2 linked regions of the Caenorhabditis elegans genome follow. The protein of the gene in region 2 purifies or fractionates together with the protein of the main gene of each other region. This does not show direct contact. Each region holds a gene or a part of one and is shown on either strand. Other genes may lie near its edges.

Region 1 (11,901 bases), on a different chromosome or scaffold from region 2:
AAATTAATTTATGCTTGTAAAAGTCCAGTAAACGTTCGAAAAAATTATGCATCCAACATTTTCTTGCAGGACTCAGCGACCAGCTCTGCCTGTGATTTATTCTGAAAATGGGTGTCCTTCGCCACGAAAACTGATGCACCAAGTTGATTTCCCGTAAAACATTCCATAATTTTTGACTTTTCCTCTTCAGAAATTCCATCTTCAAATCTCTGAAAAATTTTAAGTTTATGGTAGAGATGCTAGAAGTTAACTCACAAAATGCTCCAAACCGTCATGTTTCTCCAATTTCTCTAGGACAATTTCTTCTTCTACCAAGTGGTCGTTTCCGCCGAAGACGATTAGTTTTTTGGTCTGAAAATTTTCAAAATTAGAAGGGCGTAGACGATAGGCTTTTTTGAAAACTTACATGCTTCTGATTCAACTTCTCAATGTACTCAATTTGATCTTCCAGCGACATCCTCATCACGGACCGCATTGCGCACATGGCCTCCTCTCCAGATTTCACTTTGAAGCCGATAGCTTTGTAGACTGAAATATTTTTAAAATTTGAAATGAACTAAATAAATATTTTTACTTACTTCCTAAAATCATCGAATTTCCCAAAAAACTTGGCAAAAGCCCATACATCCAGTCCAAATACTCCAGCCTATAAAATGGCCTAATGCCCTGATGATGTCTGAACCCGGTCGGATTTATGAGCACAAGACCGTGAGCTTCACGTCCGACGGCTGTTTGCAGAGCATTCTCGCATCCACGACTGTGTCCCATGTAGATAATTTTTCCGTCGATTTTCAGCTCATCTAGCAAAGCGTTGGAGAAGTTTTGGCGTTCCGGATTTGCGTGTTGTTGACCTTCATATTCAGGCGTATTTGAAAATCCCGGATAATTGACTCCAATAAATCGAATATTCAGATCATCCAGCTTGCTCCGAATGTACTTGAAATCGTTGTGAGACCCAGGGGAGCCGTGGAAAGCAACTACAGTACCGAACGGGGAGCCGGAAGTGATAGAGTCCTGAATTTGAAAAGTTAATATTAGGGGGGCAAATTTTTTAGTAGGCAAATTTGGCAAATTGGCAAAATACCGGTTTGCCGACTTGCCGGAGTTTTGATTTTCGGCAAATTGCTGATTTGTTGTTTGCCAAACCTCAACTTGCCAGAAGTTTTCAGAGGGATTTTTATAGGACTTAAAACTGTGCCTTTTTGAAAATTTTCCCCGTTTTCTTTGGATATTTTCATAGAATTTGCTTATTTTTCAAAATAGATGTAGAAGCATTCTTAGGATGCGTACAATTTTTGCCGATTAAATTTGAAATTCTGAGATTTCCAAAAAAAAATTGGCAATTTGCCGGTTTGCCGAAAATTTCAATTCCGGCAATTTACCGATTTGCCGGAAAAGGTCGTTTGCCGCCCGCCCTGGTTCAAATATCCAGAAAAAAAACTAGATTAAAGTAAAACTTCGAACCACACCTCATAAACCGCCTCCAACTCCACAAATTGTTCATTTTCCGCTTGAAATTTCACTAGCTTCTTCAAAAGCTTGGGCTCACTTATTCGTGCTCTGGGGACCTCCGTCATTCTTGAAATTGTATTGATTAAAGAAAACGGTACAATAATTAGTTTTGACATTAAATTTTAAAAATAAGAAATGAAATTTTTAAAGCGTAAAATATGTATATTTTTTAAACTCGACAAAATAATTTAATTTCTTTGCAAAAAAATCAATAAAGAACTCGAATAAACCGTGTTATTCGTGGAATCTCAAAGGTCGAAAAAGGAAGTAAAATTGAGGGTAATCGTAAGCAAGCGCGCTCTATTGAGAGTGACCTTTTCCTCTCGAAGAAGGGGAGGCATTGTCACTATGCAAATACAGGGATTTGTGTTCCCTTGCAGCAGTACAGGTTGGAAGAACGCATTTTTTACAATTTGCTCACATAATCAATCGGCGCAGGACTCACAAAAGGAAATTGTTTTAAGAATTAACGCTTTGATAATAAGTTATTATTATTGATAACACAATTCAATGAATAATTCAAAAAAAAATTGAAAAACTATTTATAATACTAATTCAATAACATTGATCTAGCAGCATCTGCCAATAAATCCGCCCGCTTCTTATTTTGAAAATGGTTATCCTTTGCAATAAATACAGATGTTCCTTTTTGATTTTTGAAACTCTCCATTATTTTCTGCTTTTCAGATTCTGTGATGTTCGCTTTGAAATTCTGAAATTCCTTCCAATTTTTCAAGTTTTTCTATCACAAAACTTACAAAATGCGCGAGTCCCTGATACTTTTTGAGTGCTTCAAAAACAATTTCCTTTTCAATTAAATGATCGCTTCCCCCAAAAGTGATCATAGTTTTTGTGGGCTGTTCATTCAATTTCAGAATGTATTCCAGTTGCTTTTCCAGGTCACAGTTCATAATTGCTCGAATAACCGCCACGGCTTCCTCTCCGTCTTGAATTTTAAATCCGACCGATTTCATTACTGGAAATTGGAAAAGCTATTTATGGTTCAAAAAGTTACAATTTTCAGTTTGCGGAGACCGTCAACCAATCAGCGGTGCGCGGGGCGTGGCCAACATTGCTGATTGGCTGGTGCTTTTCAAATTTGAGTGCATTTTTGAAAATAAGCTTTCTACACATACATTTTCAAAACTTCGTGAAAAATCCGACAAATTTCTTCTAGAAACATTTCTCCACTTTTGAAAATACGTTGGGAAATTTATATTTTTTCGAGGAAGATAAAAAAACTTACAATTATACATAATGGTATCTCCTACCGTTTTCGGCAATTTTTTATGGAAATATACCAGAGATTCCAGCTTTCCCTTCGGACGAGACCCTTTATGAATTCTCAATCCAGTCGGATTAACCATTACTAGTCCATGAGGTTTCCGATTAGTAGCTGTTATCAGTGCACTTTCACACCCTCTGCTATGCCCCATTATGATCACTTTTCCCTGCACATCTAGCTCGTTTAACAATGCTTCTGAGTAGCTATTTCGTTCCCAGTTTCCGAAATGTTGACCGGGGTAGGCTGAAATTTTTTTAAAAATTATTTGATGGTTTTTTTAAAAAATAAACTGAAATTACCAGGAGTTTGCTTGAAACCTGGGTAGTTAATGCCAATGAATCTAATATTCATGTGCTCCAAACGCTGCCTAACATACTTGAAATCTTTGTGAGATCCTGGAGTTCCATGGAATCCGATTACAGTGCCCAGTGGTGAGCCTGATGCAGAAGTATCCTAGAAAATTGACTATTGAATATTAAAAACCTTTGGCTTACCGTACCTCATAAACTGCATTTAAATCTACCAATCTTCCCCTTTTGGTTTGGAACTGCACCAGCTTTGAGTACAACTTTGGCTCACTGGCGGGTAGGATGGAAAATGCTCGTTTTGACACAATCATTCTTGAATTTTTGAAATTAACTCTGCAAACAATACATCGAAATGAAACAGTTTTAGGAATTTGAATTTAAAACAATTGAAGTCGCGTGAATTTTTAAACGTGAAAATTAATTTTTTTTAAAAATCAAAATTTGATTAGTTGTCTTTTTAAATAGTTTTTTTTCCAAATTTTTTGTTTTACAATTTTTTATTGAAAATATAGCGATTGTTAAAATAATAGCAAAAAATCAAAATTTAAAAAAACCACAACAGACTGGCAAAAAGGAGAACAAGAAATGACGTCAAATGCGTACCCACAGGAGGAAACCGGTCAGATGTGTCTGTGTAGTCAGTGTGTAGCCAATGCACCCCCTCCTGTACTTTGGACCCTTGTCTATGTTTTAAGAAATTTTCAAATACAAACCTTAAACTGCAGGGCACTTTTTTCAGATTGAAAACTTTGGTTGGCCCAAAATTTGTTTTTTTTTTCAAATTTTTGTTGGCGTTTTCTGGGACAGTATTTCAAAATCTAATAATTTCTTGTATGTTTTTTATTGAATAAAATTACTATCACAGTTCTCAAATTATAGTCGTTGGAAATATTTTTCTTGGTGAAGATTCTCGGCGAATTCGGCAAATCGGCAAATTTGTCGCACACCCCTGATGTAGAAATAAGCTAGGCCCGTAACTAAGCATCCCGTTGGTATGACCATCTATAAAGCCGGTATATGATAGGTAGGTAGGAAAGCCTATTTTCACTGTATTTTCAGAAAATTAGTTGTATTTTATTGGTTTCTGATATCTGGCAGCAGGAAAACGAGTAGATAGGCGTAGGTCGGCTTGAAGGCAAATATGCATTTTTGGGTACTATTCCTTTTCTTGTACCTTGATAGCGTCCTACCAAAAAATAGCTGGAGTTCTGGAAAAATCGATTTTTACAGCATTCTGTGTCAGTTATTGAAATTATTCGAAAAATGTTTTTTTGCCAAATTTTACAATAGAAAAAATCGTGCTTTGCTGAAAGTATTGGATATATTATCCATTATAAATTCAACGGAAAACATGTTTTTATTAAACAAAATATCCATTTAAAAAGGGCACCTGTAAGTGAGTTTACATTCAAGCCATCAATTCTATCTTCTTCCTACTCATCATTCTCGCCTGGATTCCAAATTTTGGAAGTTCTCAGGATAATGAGGCTCTTGGAGTGAGTTTTTAATAATGTTCGAAACAATTTGTATAGATGCTTTACAGGAGCTAACAGGAGCTATGTTGTCGCTAAGAGGCTTGGCACAGAGTGAAGAGAATTTTAAAAAGGTGTTCCAAGAGTTTGACGAAGACGGAAATGGCTTCATCTCTGTTGCTGAACTGGAACCCCTCTTCAGCAACTTTCAAGCACGGCTGTCTGCCGAAGGGATTCGCAAAACTTTCCGTTACACCGATATCGACAGAAATGGTCAAGTTGATTTAGATGAGCTCATCGATGTAACCAGAGCTGTAAATCCTTCTCTTTAGAGAATCACCAACCTCAAATTTTCCAGTTTCCTCCTCTTATCCTCTCGTTTATAAGTATTATCTTCCCTAAAAAACTTTGAATAAATATTTCATCAACCTTCAATTGAAAAACTCTTTTTTTTGCCGATTAAAAACTTTGGTTCACCTAAAATTCGTTGTCTTTTGTAATTTTTGCTGACTTTTTCTGGGGCAGTATTTCAAAAGCTAAATATTTTTTGTAAGTTTATTATTGAATAAAATTACTATTACAGTTCTCAAATTATAGTCGTTGAAAATATTGTTCATGTTGCAGATTTCCCTTTTGTTTGTAAAGTTAAACAATTTGAAAATTTCAAAACATTAATTTAATAACATTGATCTAGCAGCATCTGCCAATAAATCCGCCCGCTTCTTATTTTGAAAATGATTATCCTTTGCAATAAATACAGATGTTCCTTTTTGATTTTTGAAACTTTCCATTATTTTCTGCTTTTCGGATTCTGTGATATTCGCTTTGAAATTCTGAAATTCCTTCCAATTTTTCAAGTTTTTCTATCACAAAACTTACAAAATGCGCGAGTCCCTGATACTTTTTGAGTGCTTCAAAAACAATTTCCTTTTCAATTAAATGATCACTTCCGCCAAAAGTGATCATAGTCTTTGTGGGCAGTTCATTTAATTTCAGAATGTATTCCAGTTGCTTTTCCAGGTCACAGTTCATAATTGCTCGAATAACCGCCACGGCTTCTTCACCATCATGAATTTTGAATCCAACCAATTTCATTACTGGAAATTGAAATAATTTATAAGATCTGAAGTATCCCTGAAAATTTCGAACATCCTTTAAAGGTGGAGTACCGAAATTTGAGACTTTGCTTATTTAGACCCAAAATGACCCAAAACCATCGACTTTCATAATGAGATGTTTTGAAAGTTTCTCAAAAACGGGTTTTTTCTAAAACATTGAGCCGACATAACTTTTATTTGAAAAATTTTCAGAACATCTCATTACGAAATTTGGTAGTTTTGGGTCATTTTGGATCTAAAAAAGTAAAGTCTCAGATTTCGGTACACCACTTTTAAAAACTTAGGTCTAACGAAAATACGTATTCCTAAACTGCCAAAACTACACTTTAAATAAGCCACTACCAATAATTTTGCTGCGTTTTGAACTAGAAAATTTCCGATCTCAAATTTTATTTTTACAGGACATTTTTCCAATTGTTCTGAAGCTCGTAAAATTGCTCTAGGGGTAGGCAACATCCAGAAAACTTTTCAGATTTTTGCTTTTTTTTTAATCAAAAACGCTCCCAAAATGAAAAAGTTTATGAAAAAATCCAACTTTCAAGCATTTTGACGAGCCTCAACAGTAGTAAAACACCACATTGAAACATTTTTTGGTAGTGGCCTATGGCATATTTCTCATTTTGCTTATACTCACAATTATACAAAATGGCATCTCCAATCTTTTTCGGCAATTTCTTATGTAAATAAATCAGCGACTCCAACTTTCCCTTCGGACGAGACCCTTTATTAATCCTCAACCCTGTTGGATTAGCCATCACTAGTCCATGAGGTTTCCGATTAGCTGCTGTTATCAGTGCATTCTCACATCCTCTGCTATGCCCCATTATGATCACTTTTCCCGGCACATCTAGCTCGTTTAACAGAGCTTCTGAGTAACTATTTCGTTCCCAGTTTCCGAAGTGTTGACCTGGGTACGCTGAAATTTATTTTTAATTATTTGATGGTTTTTTATTAATTAACTGAAACTACCTGGAGTTTGCTTGAATCCTGGGTAGTTAATACCAATAAATCTAATATTCATGTGCTCCAATCGCTGCCTGACATACTTGAAATCCCTGTGAGACCCTGGAGTTCCATGGAATCCAATCACAGTACCCAATGGGGAGCCAGATGATAATGAGTCCTGAAAAACTGACTTTTAAATTGAGAAATCAGTATTTCAGTGTCAACCTACCTCATAAACTGCATTTAAATCTACCAATCTTCTCCTTTTGGTTTGGAACTGCACCAACTTTGAATACAACTTCGGCTCGGTGGCGGGTAGCGTGGAAAATGCTCCTTTTGACATAATCATTATTGATTTTCTTGAAAGAATTTGTATCATAAATCACCAATTTGAAACATTTTTATTCACGAGATATTATCAAATTTAATCAAATTTGTGTTTAGAAAAAAAAATCTGACCTTCTCCATTTTTGTACTAGAAACGTAAAAAATACAACGATTGCTGGAAAATCAAAAAGACAAAATATAAAGCACAACATGAAGCTGGCATGTAAAAAAAGAAAGAAGATATGACGTCAACTGCGTACCCAAACGAAAAAGAGGAGAGAAGCGCGGGTCAGCTGTGTAGTTGGAGTGTGGCCGGTGTGCCCATCGGGTACTCTGGACCCTACTGGAATAAAATTTTAGCTTTACTATTAGATGAGTTTTTTTTTACATTTGATAAAAAAACAAGCTTTTTGGACAATTTTTTCTGGCCAAAAGAAAATCAAAAAATAACCGTCTAACAATTGACATTGAGTTGCAACTGTGTGAAGACGTGAAAATTTGAGAAAAAAAAATTCGCATTCAGAAAAATGCAAAAATTACACTGTAAACTGAAAAAAGCTCTAAAATATGAGTTCAACAAAATTATACGTTTGGCCAACTGCGAAGATTTGCAATTTGGTCGCCTGATGCCGAAAACTTGCCGAAAATTTGCCCATCGATAGCTGAGTTTTTAAACCAGTCAATTGAAGTATATCAGGAAAAGCGAACTCACAAGATGTCGGTCGCTGCAGTTTTTGACATTTCTGGTATTTTTGGGTGTTGTTTTTTTGTCAAAAATAGGGGACTTTTCAGATATGTATGTTATATCACATGTTATGTATGTTATGTATGTTATATTAGCCGATATGGAACCAAAAATTATCGAAATTGGTTACCTATCGGCTTTAAATATACCTTATATCAACGAAAGTAAATGAGATAAACTACCAATATATGTAATAAAGGACGATAATTCCAAAAAAGTCAACTTCGGACATGAATCTTATTTCGCAATGAATCTTGCGCAATGAATCTTATTTTGGCACCTCATGTCCTATGCATGTTTAATACTTTTACCCATTATTCATCTCCCTGACACCCGCACATTCATGTACCAACTAATCAACTTTTCAGATGATAATTCATTTTCTGTATGTTTATTAGTTTTCTGTATGTTTATTATCGTATGTTTATTACGTTTATTATCATGATTTCAATCGTAATAAATTCAATTCAATTCAATATGTAAAAGCGAGAATACAATTTATTGTAAAATTACATTTTTTGACAGCCTTTATTTCCGAATTTTCAAAAAATACAAAAAAAATTCAGAAAGAGGAAGGAAAAAATTCAAGCAACTACATGAATTTCCTAAAATTGAAAAAAAAAATCGTAGTAAAATTTTTCAAAAATTAAAAAAAAACAACTTTTAAAAATTTCAACGAGCGGATTCAATGGTGTTTCAAATATTTTTTAATTATTGGTGAGGGTTTAAACCAGCGATTCTCGAATTTTTTTCACCAAAAATTTGACTGAAAATGTTGAAAAATGTTAAAATTTTGAAGTGTTTCATTAAAATACTGAACCGGCAATAGGTGGGCGGCAATTGCCATTTGGCAATTTTGGCAAATTTTGTCGACAAACTCGGCAAATCGGCAAACTGCCGGTTTTCCTGATATTTTCAATTCCGGCAACTTGCCGGTTTGTCGATTTGCCGGATATTTTCAATTCAGGCTATTTGCCGATTTGCCGTTTGCCGAACACCAATTTGCGGGAAGTGTTTAGAGGGAATTATTTATGAAACCGAAACACTTAAATTTGCGCCTTTTTGAAATTTTTTTCCCCGTTGTCTTCAGATAATTTCATAGAATTTGTGTACTTTTCGAAACAGATGTAGGAACATTCATAGAATGCGTACAATTTTGCCGATTAAAATTGAAATTCTGAAATTTCCAAAAAAAAAACTGTACAAAACGACAATTTGGGTGATTTGCCGGTTTGCCGATTTGCCGGAAATTTCATTGCGGTATATTGCCGGCAGCTTCGATTCCGGCAATTTGCCGATTTGCCGGAAAAAATAGTTTGCCAACCACCCCTGTATTGGGTTATTTGAAATGATTATTATTTCCCATTGGTTATATCTTCAATGTTTAGCAATGCAATAAAATTATTTCCCCCCCCCCCCCCCCCCCTGCAAATAATTCCAGTGACAATTTTCCATAAAATAAATATGTTCGGCAACTCTGCAAAAGAACACCAGGTGTGTTCATAAAGTCGTATTGTGTGGAAGTTTGAACACTGGAACTTTGGATTCGTCGGAAAACAATTCATCATAATCGAATTTCTACATATGCAAAAATTCAGAGTAGTTAAATTCGCTTAGCAATATACGGTGATCTACAAAAAATGCGGGAGAAGAGACGCATAGTTCTCAACTGATTTCGTATGGTTAAGAACGTGCTGACGTCACATTTTCTTGATAATAAATTCAATAATAAAGAGAGTATGCGCCTTTAAGGAGTACTGCAGTTTCGAACTTATTATTTTTGCAGAAATTGAAAAAAAAGTTGTTCTTAATATGGAAAAGGTGAAAAAAAGGAAACTACAGTACTCCTTAAAAGGCACACCCTAATTTTTTTTATTTAAAAAAATCGGTCGTGTCCAGATCATCTGAAATTGAACTTATGAAGAATATGAAATATTTTTAACCGAAAAAAAAAAAACGAAAGTACTGCGCAAAAACCCATTCCAATTAATCCAGAGAAACTACTTTTGAAATCGGAAAAAAGTGCATTTTCGTTTTTCATAGTGTTTTTTTTTCTAAACAGCGGTTTTTTTTTCAAAATTTGCAAAAAAATAAACTTCTTCAGAAAAAAAAAAGAAAAATAAGTTTTACAGAACATTTTTTAAAATATTAATTGGACGCAGAATTTTTTTGAAATCGACGTGAAAACGCGCCCCACGGCTAATTGAAACGCCCCGCCGCCCGAGTCATGGGTCTCGTTAGGAATTTGACAGTAAAACCGTGGTGCCAGGCTGTCCCATTACGTTTTTGATCTACAAAAAATGCGGGAATTTTTTGCGCAAAAAAAGTGACGTCAGCACCATACGAAATCAGTTGAGAACTCTGCGTCTCTTCTCCCGCATTTTTTTGTAGATCTACGTAGATCAAACCCAAATGGGACACTCTGACACTAAATTCAGAGTTTTCCATTAGTTTTGCATGCTTTCAAACAATTTTCGTCTTGATTGAAAGCATGTAAAACTAATTGAAAAACTCAATTTACACGTGGTGTCAGAGTGTCTCATTTCGGCGTGATCTACGTAGATCTACAAAAATTGCGGGAGAGAGACGCAGTGTTCTCAACTGATTTCGCATGATTAAGAACGTGACGTCACATTTTTTGGGCAAAAAAATCCCGCATTTTTTGTAGATCAAACTGTAATGGGACAGCCTGGCTTCACGTGAATTTAGAGTTTTGCAGCCAAATACCTAACGAGACCCAACGTATAGGGGCGGACAGTTTTTCATTGGCCGTGGAGCGCGATTGCGCCATTTCCCCAATTTGTTACTAATTTTTCTTCCATTTTCAACCAATTCACTTTTTTCAGGGAAAAAGCACAAATTTTTTCCAGCTTCCTCGCCAAAACGAAAATATTTTGAGAAGCATCTTCGATCGCCGGGCGGCGGCCGATTTTTTTCACACATCGCTCACTTCTCAGTGCATTCTCATGCAAATCGTCGCGTCCCTGGCACACAATCACAAAAGTCGGGAGGGGTGGTGGTAGATAGAAGGAAAAGGAAAGAAAAGACAGTTTTCAATATATTTGAAATATTTTCTTCTTCGTTTCTTTTTTTGTGCTCTTCTTTTATCCAGTTTTTTTTTCAATATATTTAACAATAATCGTGGCAATATTGAAGACTCCCCCACATCTGTTGTTAGTCGTCGACGCGGCGCCGTTGTGTGCACATATTTCAATCGGAAAGTTCTGAGTTAGCAAAAACAAAGAGCATCTGTCAAAACGTTTTGATGATTTGATGACGAAGAGTGAGGTTCTCAATTTTATCGCCGGTCCCGTATTTTATGCTCCGAAAACTCTTTTGTTTCATCTCCGTATTTTATTACACGATTTTGTTAACAAATTCCTCGTTAAAGTTGGTTTTTAACGCAAACTTTTTATTTTTTAAATTTAATTGAAAAATAAAAATATATACTACAGTAGTTTTTTGAAGGCGCATGGCTGAATTTTTAAAGTCGCGTCGAGACCCTTCACACTTTTTTGAGATCCGCGCCTTTTTACTACGGTATTGCTAGTTTTTATTTTCTTTTTTAAATGCCTTTTTTGTGGATTTTCCTTGTTTTTTGCCAATTTTCGCGCATTTCCGTCCAATTTTCTTGCGAAAAAACTTAAACTTTGTAGAAATTTTCGTTGAATTTTCATGCAAAAACGTCAATTTTCGGCGAGTTTTCCGTTTTTTCCTTAGAAAACTAAAGTTTTTCAATTTTTCCGGTCGTTTTCCAGATTTTTACCGCGTTTTCCCTGTTTCGCTTCAGTTTTTATCTAATTTTTCAAGTTTATTCCTTCAGTTTCTGTGAAAAATAATTATTTTCACCTTTATATCCACCACTTCCCAAGAAATCCCTCTCATTAATTTATTTTTTCTCAATTTTATCCAATTTTTCACCGCAATTCTCCCTTTTAACACCATTTCCAGCCGAAATACACCGTCCATCTGTCACCAGTTCGTCGTAATTAGAGTTAGATGGGTGAAATAGATAAATCGAGCACTTCTCACCTCGAAACACGTGCGCAATGTTATAAAAAATAACATATGTTGATTTTTTATCGCAGAAAATCCCAAAAAAGACGAAAAATCGTTCTATTTGCCATGCCATATAGTTTGGCGGTGCCGGTCGGTGCGCCGTGGGAGCCAGATATTTTCCCGAAAAATT
Region 2 (11,151 bases):
AAAAAGGCGTTTTCAGCTGAAAATCTATCTTTTTTAGCATAGAAGTCTATTAAAAAAAGGATTTCCCACTGAAATCCTCCATTTTTATTCCAATTTTTACTGAAAAAAAGCATTTTCAAATCAACCTATTCTAGCATAAAAATCTTAAAATTCGAATTTTTTCGTTTTTCGGCTAAAAAAGGTTTTTCCAGCTCAAAAAACCTTAAAATTCCAAATTTTCAGCTCCAAGTCGATTTTTACTGAAAAAATGGCGTTTTCAGCTCGAAATCTATCTTTTTTAGCATAAAAATCCGTTCAAATTCTGATTTTTTATTCAAATTCGCCCTTTTTTTTCAATTTTCAGTGAAAAAAAGCATTTTCACCTTGAAATCGACATTTTCAAGCTCAAAAAACCTCAAAATTCCAAATTTTCAGCTCCAAGACGATTTTTACCAAAAAAAAAATCATTTTAAGCTCAAAATCACAATTTCTAGCATAAAGTTCTTTGAAAATTCCGAATTTTCCACTTTCCAGTGCATTTTCTTGCATTTTCCAGCCTAAAAATCCCTCAAAATTTCTCAATTTTTCAGCTCCAAGTGCCCGGACAGCTCGAAAACTCATCCCGTCCATCATCATCCATCTCAATGACGTCATCAGCTTCATCGTCAACATCTTCTCTCTCATCATCGGATGCTCCAATGATCACAATGACACCACGACGTGCTGCTCAAAAAGAGATGAAGCCAAAGACTGATGTGCTCGGAGTTCGTGTCTGTCCACTACAGCTCATCGCAGCAATCGCCTCGGCTTAAAGCTTCTGGATTCTGGATTTCCCCCTTATTTTTGGATTATTTTAGTGTATTTTTTGGGGGGTTTTTTGGGTTTTCGAACTGAAATTTTGGCTTAAAAAGCCTAAAAAACCCCTAAAAAACTGAGATAATCTAATTTTCCCCTGCAAAACTTATCCATATTCGTCTCTCTCAACAATTTATCACAGTTTTGGCTTCTTTTTTTGAAAATTTTCACTTTTTTTTTTGTTAATTTGCAATATATTTTGTTTGTCTTGCTGCGGGGGATTTTTTCGTTAAAATAGAGAAAAAAAAATCGAAAAAATTCCCCGCGAAATCCCCGTGTGCTACTAGAAATTCTGAACCATTGTAGATATTTCGGTTTTTTTTTCGAAATTTCTTTCCCGGAATTCGATAGTACAAATACAGGTATTCCCCCGTCCCGTTTTCATTTTTTGACCCGAAAAATCTTAGAAATTCGATATTTTAGACCGCCCATCTTTTTTTTCGCGTTTTTTTCCTTTAGTTTTCCCCCCCACCAAAACGTGATGATTTTCCTGTACATATTGGATTTTTCCTCACCTTTTTCTTCCATTTTTTGTCCATTTTCACTTATATGTTTTGTTAATTATTGGTTTTTGCCCCCCACAAAAATGCTCAAAATGGCTCCAAATTTCCCGGAAAAACGGGTTTTCTTTCGGCGAAAATTTTGAATTATTTAGTGAAAAAATAGCCAAAATTCTCAAATTTTGCACGGTTTTTTCAATTTTTTTGCAAATTTTGGTGCATTTTCCGTAAAAATCGACAAAAAATTGCGAAACACATTTTTCCGAGTTTTTTTTTTGCCGATTTCGTGCAAAAAACGTGGGAAAATCTGCAAAAATGCAGAAAACAGGAAAAAATTGATTTTCTGCCACTATTTTGCAATTTTCGGTCGATTTTAGTGCATTTTTAGCCGATTTTGACTGAAAATTTGCAAAATATTGATTGAAAATTAAATTTTATCGATTTTTTCTGATATTTTGGCTTTTTCCCAAGTTTTTTGTCGATTTTGTGCACAAAACGTGAAAAAACCGATGAAAAAAAACTTGCGCGTCAAATACAATGCACTGCGTACACTCGCGGTGTTTGCACCGAGTGCATTCTAATTGACGGGCAAAATCTTTTTTTACACTGAATTTTTACGATTTTCTTGAGTTTTAGCCAAATTTGCTAATTATTCGTACATTTTTGTCCATTTTCAGTCGATTTTCACTGAAAATTACCAAATTTTTCGCCTAAAAACTGTTTTTCCACGGAAATTTGGAGATTTTCACAGTCTCAAAAATCAATAATTATCAAGTGTGTACCCAACTTCAAAAATTGATTTTGGCCGGGTCACACGCCACTTTTTCTCGATTAGTTTTTCAATATTTTCTGGGAAAACTCGCCAAGAAAAATGGGCGGCCTCTAAATCTCTATTATCGATTTTTCTTTTTTCATTTTTTTTCATTTTTCCCCATACTGAAAATCGACCTTTTTAGGTTATTTTCACTCTGTTTTTGTACCATCTTTTCTTCTTTTTCTCTATGTCTCGTTATTTCTGTGTTAGCACCCCCACTCTCTCTCTCTCTCACTCTATCTCTCTCTGTCTCTCTCTGTCTCGCCACGTCATATTTTAATGTTCATATCCCCCCGAGTCTGGTCACACTATCCTACAGTAACCAAGCCTACAGTCTACAGTAATCCTATATATCTATCAATATCTTATAATCTTTTAATATATATAATCCACACAGTTTAGCTGCTACAGTAATCCCGGCTAAATTTGTTCTCTAGTCTATTGGTTTTTTTTGAAAATTTTAAATTTTCCCCCTCACCCACCCACCCATTCATTTAAATCTCTCAGAAGCCTTAATTTTTAAATTTTCGCGCGAGTCGAACCTCGATCTCCCAGGTTTTCGCATTCCTTCCCACTTTTTTTTCCATCTTTTTTCCTGTTTCTTGGCTATTTTTTGGGAAAAGTATCAAATTTCTCTCGCGAAATTTGCGATTTCCCGAAAATTTGCCAACTTTCCACTGAGATTTTGGCGTTTTTTGCGCATTTCCACCTCTACCATCTGTACGGATTGCGATTTTTTTCACTGAAATCGAATAGATCACTATCAAGACAAAATTTCCAGGCTTTCAGGCTCTCATTAGGCTTGTCTGGACTATTTTTCTTGAAAAGAAGAAGAAGTAATAAATACGTTGTGATCTAAAAAAATATTGTGTTTTTTTTCAAAAATTCAGAATTACATAAAAGCATAAAATGAGATTCCAGTGTACATTAATCGAATGGAATTTGAAATTGGAAGAGAAAAAGTTTGAGATTTATCGGCCACTTTGGATTTGTCGGCTTTCCGTTTGGATTGGGGGCGAAGACGGGCGAGAAGGCGGATTCGAGGGCGATATTCTGGAAAATTTGAATTTTTTTCCCGTTTTTTGGGAATTTTTAGCCCAAATCGCTGGAAAATAGGCCAAAATCGATAGAATTTTTTGCAAAAAACTGGCGAAGTTGAATAAAAAAATAATTTTTTTTACAATTTTTAATGAATTTTTCCCATTTTTTCGCAAATTTTCGTCGTTTTTTGAGAATTTTCCGTTTAAATCGGTGGAAAATAAGCTAAATCGACAAAAATTTTCAGAAATATGTGGAAATTGGATTAAAAAACCATTTTCAGCGAATATTACGTAAATTTTGGTCGATTTTGGTGCATTTTTTGCCGATTTTGACTGGAGAAGTCATATTTTATGGTTTTTTTTTTCGTCGATTTTGGCCCATTTTCAGAAGATTTTTTTTTTGGCCAACTCACTGCAGGAGCTCATCATTGTATCCAATTTTTCCGTAATTTCCATCGTTCGAACCTTCTCCAGAATCGCTGAGAGCCTGGCGTAGATATTTGGACTTCTACGGCTGAAAATTATAAAATTTTAGTGAAAAATCATCAAATTCTGTAAGATTTACCCATCAGGGCGCCTCAATCGGCTGATAGTGACACGAAATCCGACGAGTTGAGTTTCCGACGGTGTTACCATGCATACTGGAAGAATTTCAAGTTATTTTTAATCAAAAATCATCTGAAATTAGCTAAAAAATTCAAGAATTTCGAAAAAAATGCAGAAAAAAAGATTTGCGCGTCAATTAAAATGCACTCAGTGCAAACACCGCAAGTGTACGCAGTGCATTGTATTTGACGCGCAAGTTTTATTTCTGGGTTTTAAAGCATTTCTACAGCAAAAAATACAATAAAATCAATTAAAAATCTAGATTTTAGGCCCAAAAACCTTCAAAAGCCAATAATCGTCCTGCCGCAATATATTGCTCCGCGAGCTGACAATTTTCTTCAACGTGTCGCTGAAATCGTGCATCCGGGCATTTCGAATGCTCATAATCCTGTCCAAACTTCATTTTCGGCCAATCCGCCGTGCTCGGCGAGCATCTTTCCATTGCCACGTAGCAAAATGACGTCAGAAAGTCGCAGAAAATGGCGGTATCCCGAAGATTGCCACCAACACGTCGGCGATGCTTCTTGCCGAGAATTACGTGGTGGGGAGGTTTAATGATGACGGCTTTGGCCGTTGTGATGTTAGTTGCTCGAAGAGATTTCATTTTTAGGGTCTTCCTGGGGAATCTGAAAAAAAAATTACCAAGACGTTTTTATCCTGAATTTTGCGATTTTTAAAAAAATTTTACAGAGAAAAATTCAAAAAAAAACCGCGCCGCGCTTGCTTATTCTAAGGCCCAGACGCCAAATTTTGTGATTTTCGCGCCAAAACTACGGTACCAGGTCTCGCCACGCCTTTTTTGAACTGCGAGCAGGTGTGCGCCTTTAAAGATTACTGTAGGAATTTTTTCAATCAAAAACTATGAAAAATCGGTTAAAATTCCACAGCAACCAAAGTTCGAAGTTACAGTAATTTAAAGGCGCACACCTGCCCAAAATGCTTTTTTCACGATTTTTCTCCAAAGTTGTAAATTTTAGAGAAAAAATCGTGTTGAAAACTCAATTTTTATGCAAAAGTCGGTAATTAGGCCATTTGGACTCGGCTACGGCCGGGGTAGATTTACGGAGCGGCGCGTGTCGCGTCGCGGCTAGTTTTTCATTGTAAAACTGAATAAAATGGTTTGTTTAACGGTTTTTAACGAAAATTTACAAAATTAGGTTTAATTTAACCTAATTTTGCAAATTTCAAAGGGAAATATTAAATTTTTCAAGTTTTTGAGAGAAAAATCGTAAAAATGCCCAATTTCAGCCAAAATTCGCGCGAAAATCCTGAAATTCAATCAATTTTCAGCGAATAAAATTACATGAAATATGTAAAAAACTCCTGGATAATCCCCAAAAAATTCCAACTAAAAAGTCGATATTTTCATTTGAAAATTGAAAATTTGTCGAAAAACTATATATAACTATATATCAGGGGAGGAAGGCGGGAACAAAAAAATTTCAAGGCAGCACAGAAATGGTAGAAAAAAAGAAAATATAATTTAATATAAATAAATCATTGGATAAAATTGGAATTAATATAGTAGGAATCCGGTTGTGGTATATAAAACTCGTTTTTTGCTTCTTTTCAGGGGGGAAAAAGGATGGCACAGGAAGGGAAACGGCGGGAAATTAAACTTAAATTAAAAAATTTTTTTGGCGGGATTAATTTGGGAAATTTGGAGGAAAATAGGAAAACGCGGATAAAAATGATGGAAAAATGGGATTTTTTTTCTTTTTCTGATAAAACTATGATATGATTATGAAACAAGATCAATGGCAGGGGCAGGGATGAATATAGGATAAATATTTGTATATATATATAGGTATTTAAATGGATAAAATGTCTAATTTCTTCTTCTTTTCTCTTCTCTCTCTCTCTCTCTGTACATAAAAAATCGATAATTCTACACACTAAAACAGTGGATTCTCGTGTGCCGTGCTGCGTCTCTTCTGCTTATTCGACTCTTTTCTCGGCATTTGAACTGTAATTCGCTTCACAATTTGTTGGAAACTCGGCCGCTTCTCCGGTTGGCTCGACCAGCATTCCAGCAGCAGTTCGTGCAATTTTCCGTCGATTTTTTGCAGCTGGGCGTCGAGCCGTTGAAGTGCCGCTTTTTGGCCGCACATTTTCGCGTAGAGCTTCTGATCCCAAGAGTCACAGCCCGTTGGCATACGGCGGAGCAGGAGTTCGAAGAAAATTGTACTGAAAATTGGGAAAATTTTCAAATTATTGATTTTTAAAACTTTAAATATAAAAAATGATAGTTTTTTGACTAGTTTTGAAAAAAAATTAATTTTTATTAAATTTTTCCCAATATGTCGATTTACGCAGCATTTTTCAGTGTTAATTTCAAAGTTTAAATATTAAAAAAAAAATTTTTTTCGCTTTTTCAAAAATTGTCGATTTTTAACTCAAAATATTCAAAAATTGAGATTTTTTTCACTAGTTTTGTGAAAAAATCTTCATTTTTAATGATTTTTTCCAAATTTTTCTCAATGTGTCGATTTACGCAGCTCTCTCGTGTACTCCTCGTGGAGAAGAGGTAAAGATTCTCCAATTTTTAGCTAAAACTCTCAGTTTTGGACCATTTTCACTGGTTTTTTTGTATTGAACACACAAAATCGTTCATTTTTTGGTGAAAAATACAAAAATAGTCTCAATTTTAGAGTTTTTGACCAGTATCCATAATTTATGAATTTACTGGTCAAAAACTCCAAATTTGAGTGTTTTTTTTCGCATTTTCATCAAAATACATAGAAATAAGCAAAAAATGGACGATTTTGATGTTAATCACAGAAGAAAACTAGCGAAATTGGTGCAAAACCGAGAATTTCACCTAAAAACTGTAGAATCTTCGGCTCTTCTCCACGAGGAGTACACGAGAGAGCTGCGTAAATCGACAGAGAGGCTCCAGCTCTTCCATTTTTTAATTTTCGCTAAAAAGAAGAGCACCGATTAGCAAAATTTCACAAATTTTTACGAAAAAAAAACGGTAGCCCGGGTCTCGCCACGATCGAAAATTCCCAGCTACCGTACCCCCGAGAATTTCGCAGTTTTCCCGATATTTTGAAAAATACGCCAAATATCAGGAAAATTACGAAATTCTCGTAGGTACGGTAGCTGGGAAGTTTCGTTCATGGCGAGACCCTGAATACCGTCTTTTTTAGTAAAAATTTTGAAAAAAAAATGGAATTCTGTCTTTTTCTTGACATTGACTTATTTTTGTCCATAAATTACGAACAACACGCCAAATATCAAGAAAATTACGAAATTCTCGGGGGTACTGTAGCTGGGGAAGTTTCGATCGTGGCGAGACCCCGAGCTACCGTAGTTTTTCGTAAAAATTTGTGAAATTTTGCAAATCGGTCTCCCAAACTCCATTAAATTTGAAAATGGAAGAGCTGTCGATTTACGCAGCTCGCTCGTGTACTCCTCGTGGAGAAGAGCTCTAAAAACGAATTCTTGTGGCGAGACCCAAGGCTACCGGATTTTCTGGCCAAAAATCGCATTTTTTTTCGCAATTCGAAAGCGGTTTTCACTTAAAAATCCGATAAAATACGAAATTTCCTGGTTTTCTTGGTGTGTTTTTCGTAATTTATGAATAAAAATGAGTAAATGTCAAGAAAATGGCAGAATTCAATTTTTTCGAAATTTTTACGACAAAATACCGGGGTCTTGCCACGATCGAAAATTCCCAGCTACCGTACCCCCGAGAATTTCGCAGTTTTCCCGATATTTTGAAAAATACGCCAAATATCCGGAAAACTGCGAAAGTCCCGTGGGAACGGTAGCTGGAAAGTTTCGGTCGTGGCGAGACCCTGAATACCGTACTTTTTAGTAAAAACGTCGACAAAAATTGAATTCTGTCTTTTTCTTGACATTTACTCATTTTTATTCATAAATTACGAAAAACGCCCCAAAAAACCAAGAAATTTCGAAGTTCTCGGAGGGACTGTAGCTGGGGAAGTTTCGATCGTGGCGAGACCTCTGGCCAAAAATCGCAATTTTTCGCATTTCGGAAGCGGTTTTCAATCAAAAAAAATTAAAAATTCGATAAAATCCCCCCGTACCCAAACGAATAAACATCAGATTCTTGTGAAAACGGTAGTTCATGTTGAAACAACACATCACCCCTCCAATCAATCATCAAATTTCCAGCAATTTCCGGCGAAAGATAGTCAATCCAGTGATTTGGGATTAAAAGTGTACAATTTCTGCGGGGATTCTCCAGCCGCTCAAGCTTCATCAACGCAAAATCCGTAACAACGACTCGATTCGGATTGTCCAAAAGAATATTTTTCGTTCGTAAATCTCGATGAAGTATCTTCTTTTTATGCAGATAAGACATTGCCTGACAAATTTGCAACGAAATTTGAAATGTCCACGATTGATCGAAATCTTCGGATAATTGTTCATGAATTCGGTGATAAAGAGTGTTGTGTTGATAGAAATTCGTGACAATTGCGTACGTATTCGTCACTGGATCTGATACGTATCCGTAGAATAGGGCTATATGATCGTGCCGCGAGTTCTGGAAAAAAATCGAATTTTTTTTTGTGGGGTAATTGTGTTTTTAATGCCAAATATATAACAATTTTGCACAGAAAAAAAGTTGAATTTTTCATTTTTTAAATTAAAAATTTTTTTTTCGCAATTTTTGTTGAAAAAATTTTTCGCATTAATTTAGCACAGAAAAACCGTTTAAAAATCGTAATTTTACGAAAAACTTGGATTTTTGGACACGAATTTTTAACAAAAATCCAATTTTTTTAGTAGTGTAAACAAAAATTTGAAATTTTCAGACAAAGGGTCATAGAACATATGCCAAAAATGGTTCATTCTCAAAAAATTTTTTAAAATCAATTTTCGGTAATTGTTATAACTTTTGCATTAACATCTACTCATTTTCGTTAATTCTATAGTTTTTTTTTGGGATTTTTTGAGTATTTTTTTCACAAATTTTTTATAATGTATACTTTATTATGACAAGAGTTCTGGAAAATTTGTTTTTTGGGGAAATCGTGTAAAAATAGCGAAAAATTCAATATTTTAGGCCAAAAATAAGAATCTTACACAGAAAAAATCGAAAAATTTTTGAATTTTTTAAAAATAAATTTTTTGGTGAAAAAAAATCGCATTTATATAGCAAAAAAAAACAGTAATTTTATAAAAAACTTTGGGATTTTTTGGAAAATTTGAATACGAAAAATTCAGTTTTTTGCTTAAAATTACGTTTTTCAAACGGTTTTTTAGTTTTTTAAAGTGAATTTTCGGTAATTTTGATAATTTTTGCATCAAAATTTACTCATTTTCGTTAATTTTACAGTTTTTTTTTGGATTTTTTTGGTAGTTCTGGAAAAAATTAAATTTTTTTGTGGGGAAATTGTGTTTTAATGCTAAATATATAACAATTTTGCACAGAAAAAAATTGTTGAATTTTTAATTTTTTAAATGAAAAAAATTTGTTCGCAATTTTAAATGAAAAAAAAAATTTCGCATTAATTTAGCACAGAAAAACCGTTTAAATATCGTTTTTGCCTTAAAATTGAATTATTTTTGTTATTTCTACAGTTTTTCAGGATTTTTTGTTTTTTTTTCGCAATTTGTATAATAAACTGTTTTTTCAGAGATTTTGGGCAAATTGTGGTAGAAAAATTCTAATTTAAAAAAAAATTCAAACAAAAAACAGATAAAATTTAAAGAATATAGATTTTTTTGCTGCCAAAATACCGTAAAAATCAGATTTTCCCATTTTTTTAAAAAATTATTTTTAAAAAAGTTTTAAAAATTTAGAATTTTCTCAAGTTTAAATTTTGAGAAAACAATTTTTAGAAATTCTGATTTTCATACGGTATATTCCCAATTTTTTCCAATTTCTTTTTTTTTGCAAATTTCCAAACACTGACACAATACAGTCAAAAAATTTTAAAAAGGTAATTTTTATAATTTTTGCATTAAAATTTAATCATTTTCGTCAATTCTACAGTTTTTCGGGATTTTTTTGATTAAATTTATTTAAAGAACATATTTTTTTAAAGCTAAAATATCGTAAAAAACCGGAAATTAGCAATTTTTTTCAAAAATGATACATAAAATTAAAAAATTCTGATTTTTTGCAATATTAAAAAAACCTTTAAAAAAACCGTCCAAACAATTTTTTTCGCAATTTTTTTTTTGCAAAATTCCAAAATCCCAAACCTTATAAGCCGACACAATTTCCGTGGCAAAAACGTCGGCGCGGCGGTCTTCTTGACTCAAATAATTCATATTCACAAATCGTACAGCCGCATTACCATGATAACCACCAAAATATACACTTCCGAACCGTCCGTCTCCAATTTTAGTCATAACATCAACGTCGGTAAGCTTAATTGTAACATCTTCCCATGTCATAAGTACAGTTTCTTCATCCATTTCTTCATTTATTTCTGAATTAAATGTTGTCACGTCGTCCAGTGTTGATGTTGTCATTGAGATCAATTTTCTTGTTTTATGTACATTTTCTGCAAAAAACAATGCATTTTTCCATAAAAATACTACTTTTTCCGGCTTTTTCGGACCAAAAATTAACAAAAAATTAAAAAATTTGAAAAACTAAATAAAATCAATTTTTTGTCACAAAAATTTTCTTTAAAAAAATTCTTCTAAAAAAATTCTTCTAAAAAGAAGAAAAATAGCCAAAAATTGAAGCTAATTTTCAAAAAAAAAAAACGGGTTTTTTTCTTTCAAAACTTTGTTTTTCGATTTTTCTTAAAAAACAAAAAAAATTCCGTTAGGTTTTTTTTAATAGCTTCAATGCCTATTTTTCTTCTTTCTAGAAAAAATTTAAAAAATAATTATTTAAAATTTTTTAATTCTCATTTTCCAGAAGCAGCAACATTTTCGGGATTTTCAATTTTTTCGGAAAAGTTTCAACTATTTTAATAATTTCTGATTGTTTATCAATTGTTTTAAAATAATTGTCATATTTTTATTATTAAAATCTACAAATTCTTTGATAATTAATTTTAAAAGATTTTTTGAAATTTTCGATTCTATCTGAAAAAAATCAATTTCAGATTTTTTTTTCTGACAGAAAATCTGGAAAACCTGATTTTTTGGAAAAAAAATTAGTCGAAAATTCACATTTGTCAAATAAAACAATTTTTAAACTTAAAAAAAACTTTTTCTGTTTTTTTGGAAAATTTGTAAATTGTTTTTTCTAGTTTTTCAAACGATTTTTTGGAAGTAAAATTCAAAAAATATCTGTTTTTTACGGATTCATTTTTTTTTTAAATTGAAAATTCCGATTTTATCTGACAAATATCAAAAATCGTTGTTTTTTACTTTTTTTTAAATATATTTTTTAGAAAATTTTTTTTCGTTATAAGAA

Evidence for each region.
Region 1: the proteins of F58D5.9 (region 2) and K08D9.4 fractionate together in Caenorhabditis elegans (co-fractionation; one large-scale study listed by BioGRID). This does not show direct contact.

The regions. Positions count from the first base shown.
Region 1 is NC_003283.11:3,193,425-3,205,325, forward strand, and holds K08D9.4 (AB hydrolase-1 domain-containing protein), read right to left. Parts: upstream 7,000-11,901; 5' UTR 6,990-6,999; coding exon 6,870-6,989; intron 6,819-6,869; coding exon 6,665-6,818; intron 6,612-6,664; coding exon 6,330-6,611; intron 6,237-6,329; exon of another isoform or gene 6,216-6,236; intron 5,675-6,215; coding exon 5,457-5,674; intron 5,411-5,456; coding exon 5,249-5,410; 3' UTR 5,120-5,248; downstream 1-5,119. Other genes in the region: Y73C8B.2 (AB hydrolase-1 domain-containing protein), read right to left, coding at 45-209, 256-351, 407-528, 579-1,014, 1,470-1,577; Y73C8B.9 (Transposase), read left to right, coding at 134-153, 452-527; Y73C8B.1 (AB hydrolase-1 domain-containing protein), read right to left, coding at 2,063-2,224, 2,271-2,488, 2,759-3,040, 3,097-3,250, 3,297-3,416; Y73C8B.5 (EF-hand domain-containing protein), read left to right, coding at 4,123-4,129, 4,519-4,601, 4,649-4,909.
Region 2 is NC_003279.8:12,042,196-12,053,346, forward strand, and holds F58D5.9 (Cystatin domain-containing protein), read right to left. Parts: upstream 4,424-11,151; 5' UTR 4,399-4,423; coding exon 4,074-4,398; intron 3,830-4,073; coding exon 3,754-3,829; intron 3,703-3,753; coding exon 3,602-3,702; intron 3,202-3,601; coding exon 3,041-3,201; 3' UTR 3,006-3,040; downstream 1-3,005. Other genes in the region: F58D5.5 (uncharacterized protein), read left to right, coding at 570-791; ksr-2 (Kinase suppressor of Ras B), read right to left, coding at 5,690-5,981, 7,850-8,310, 9,978-10,282.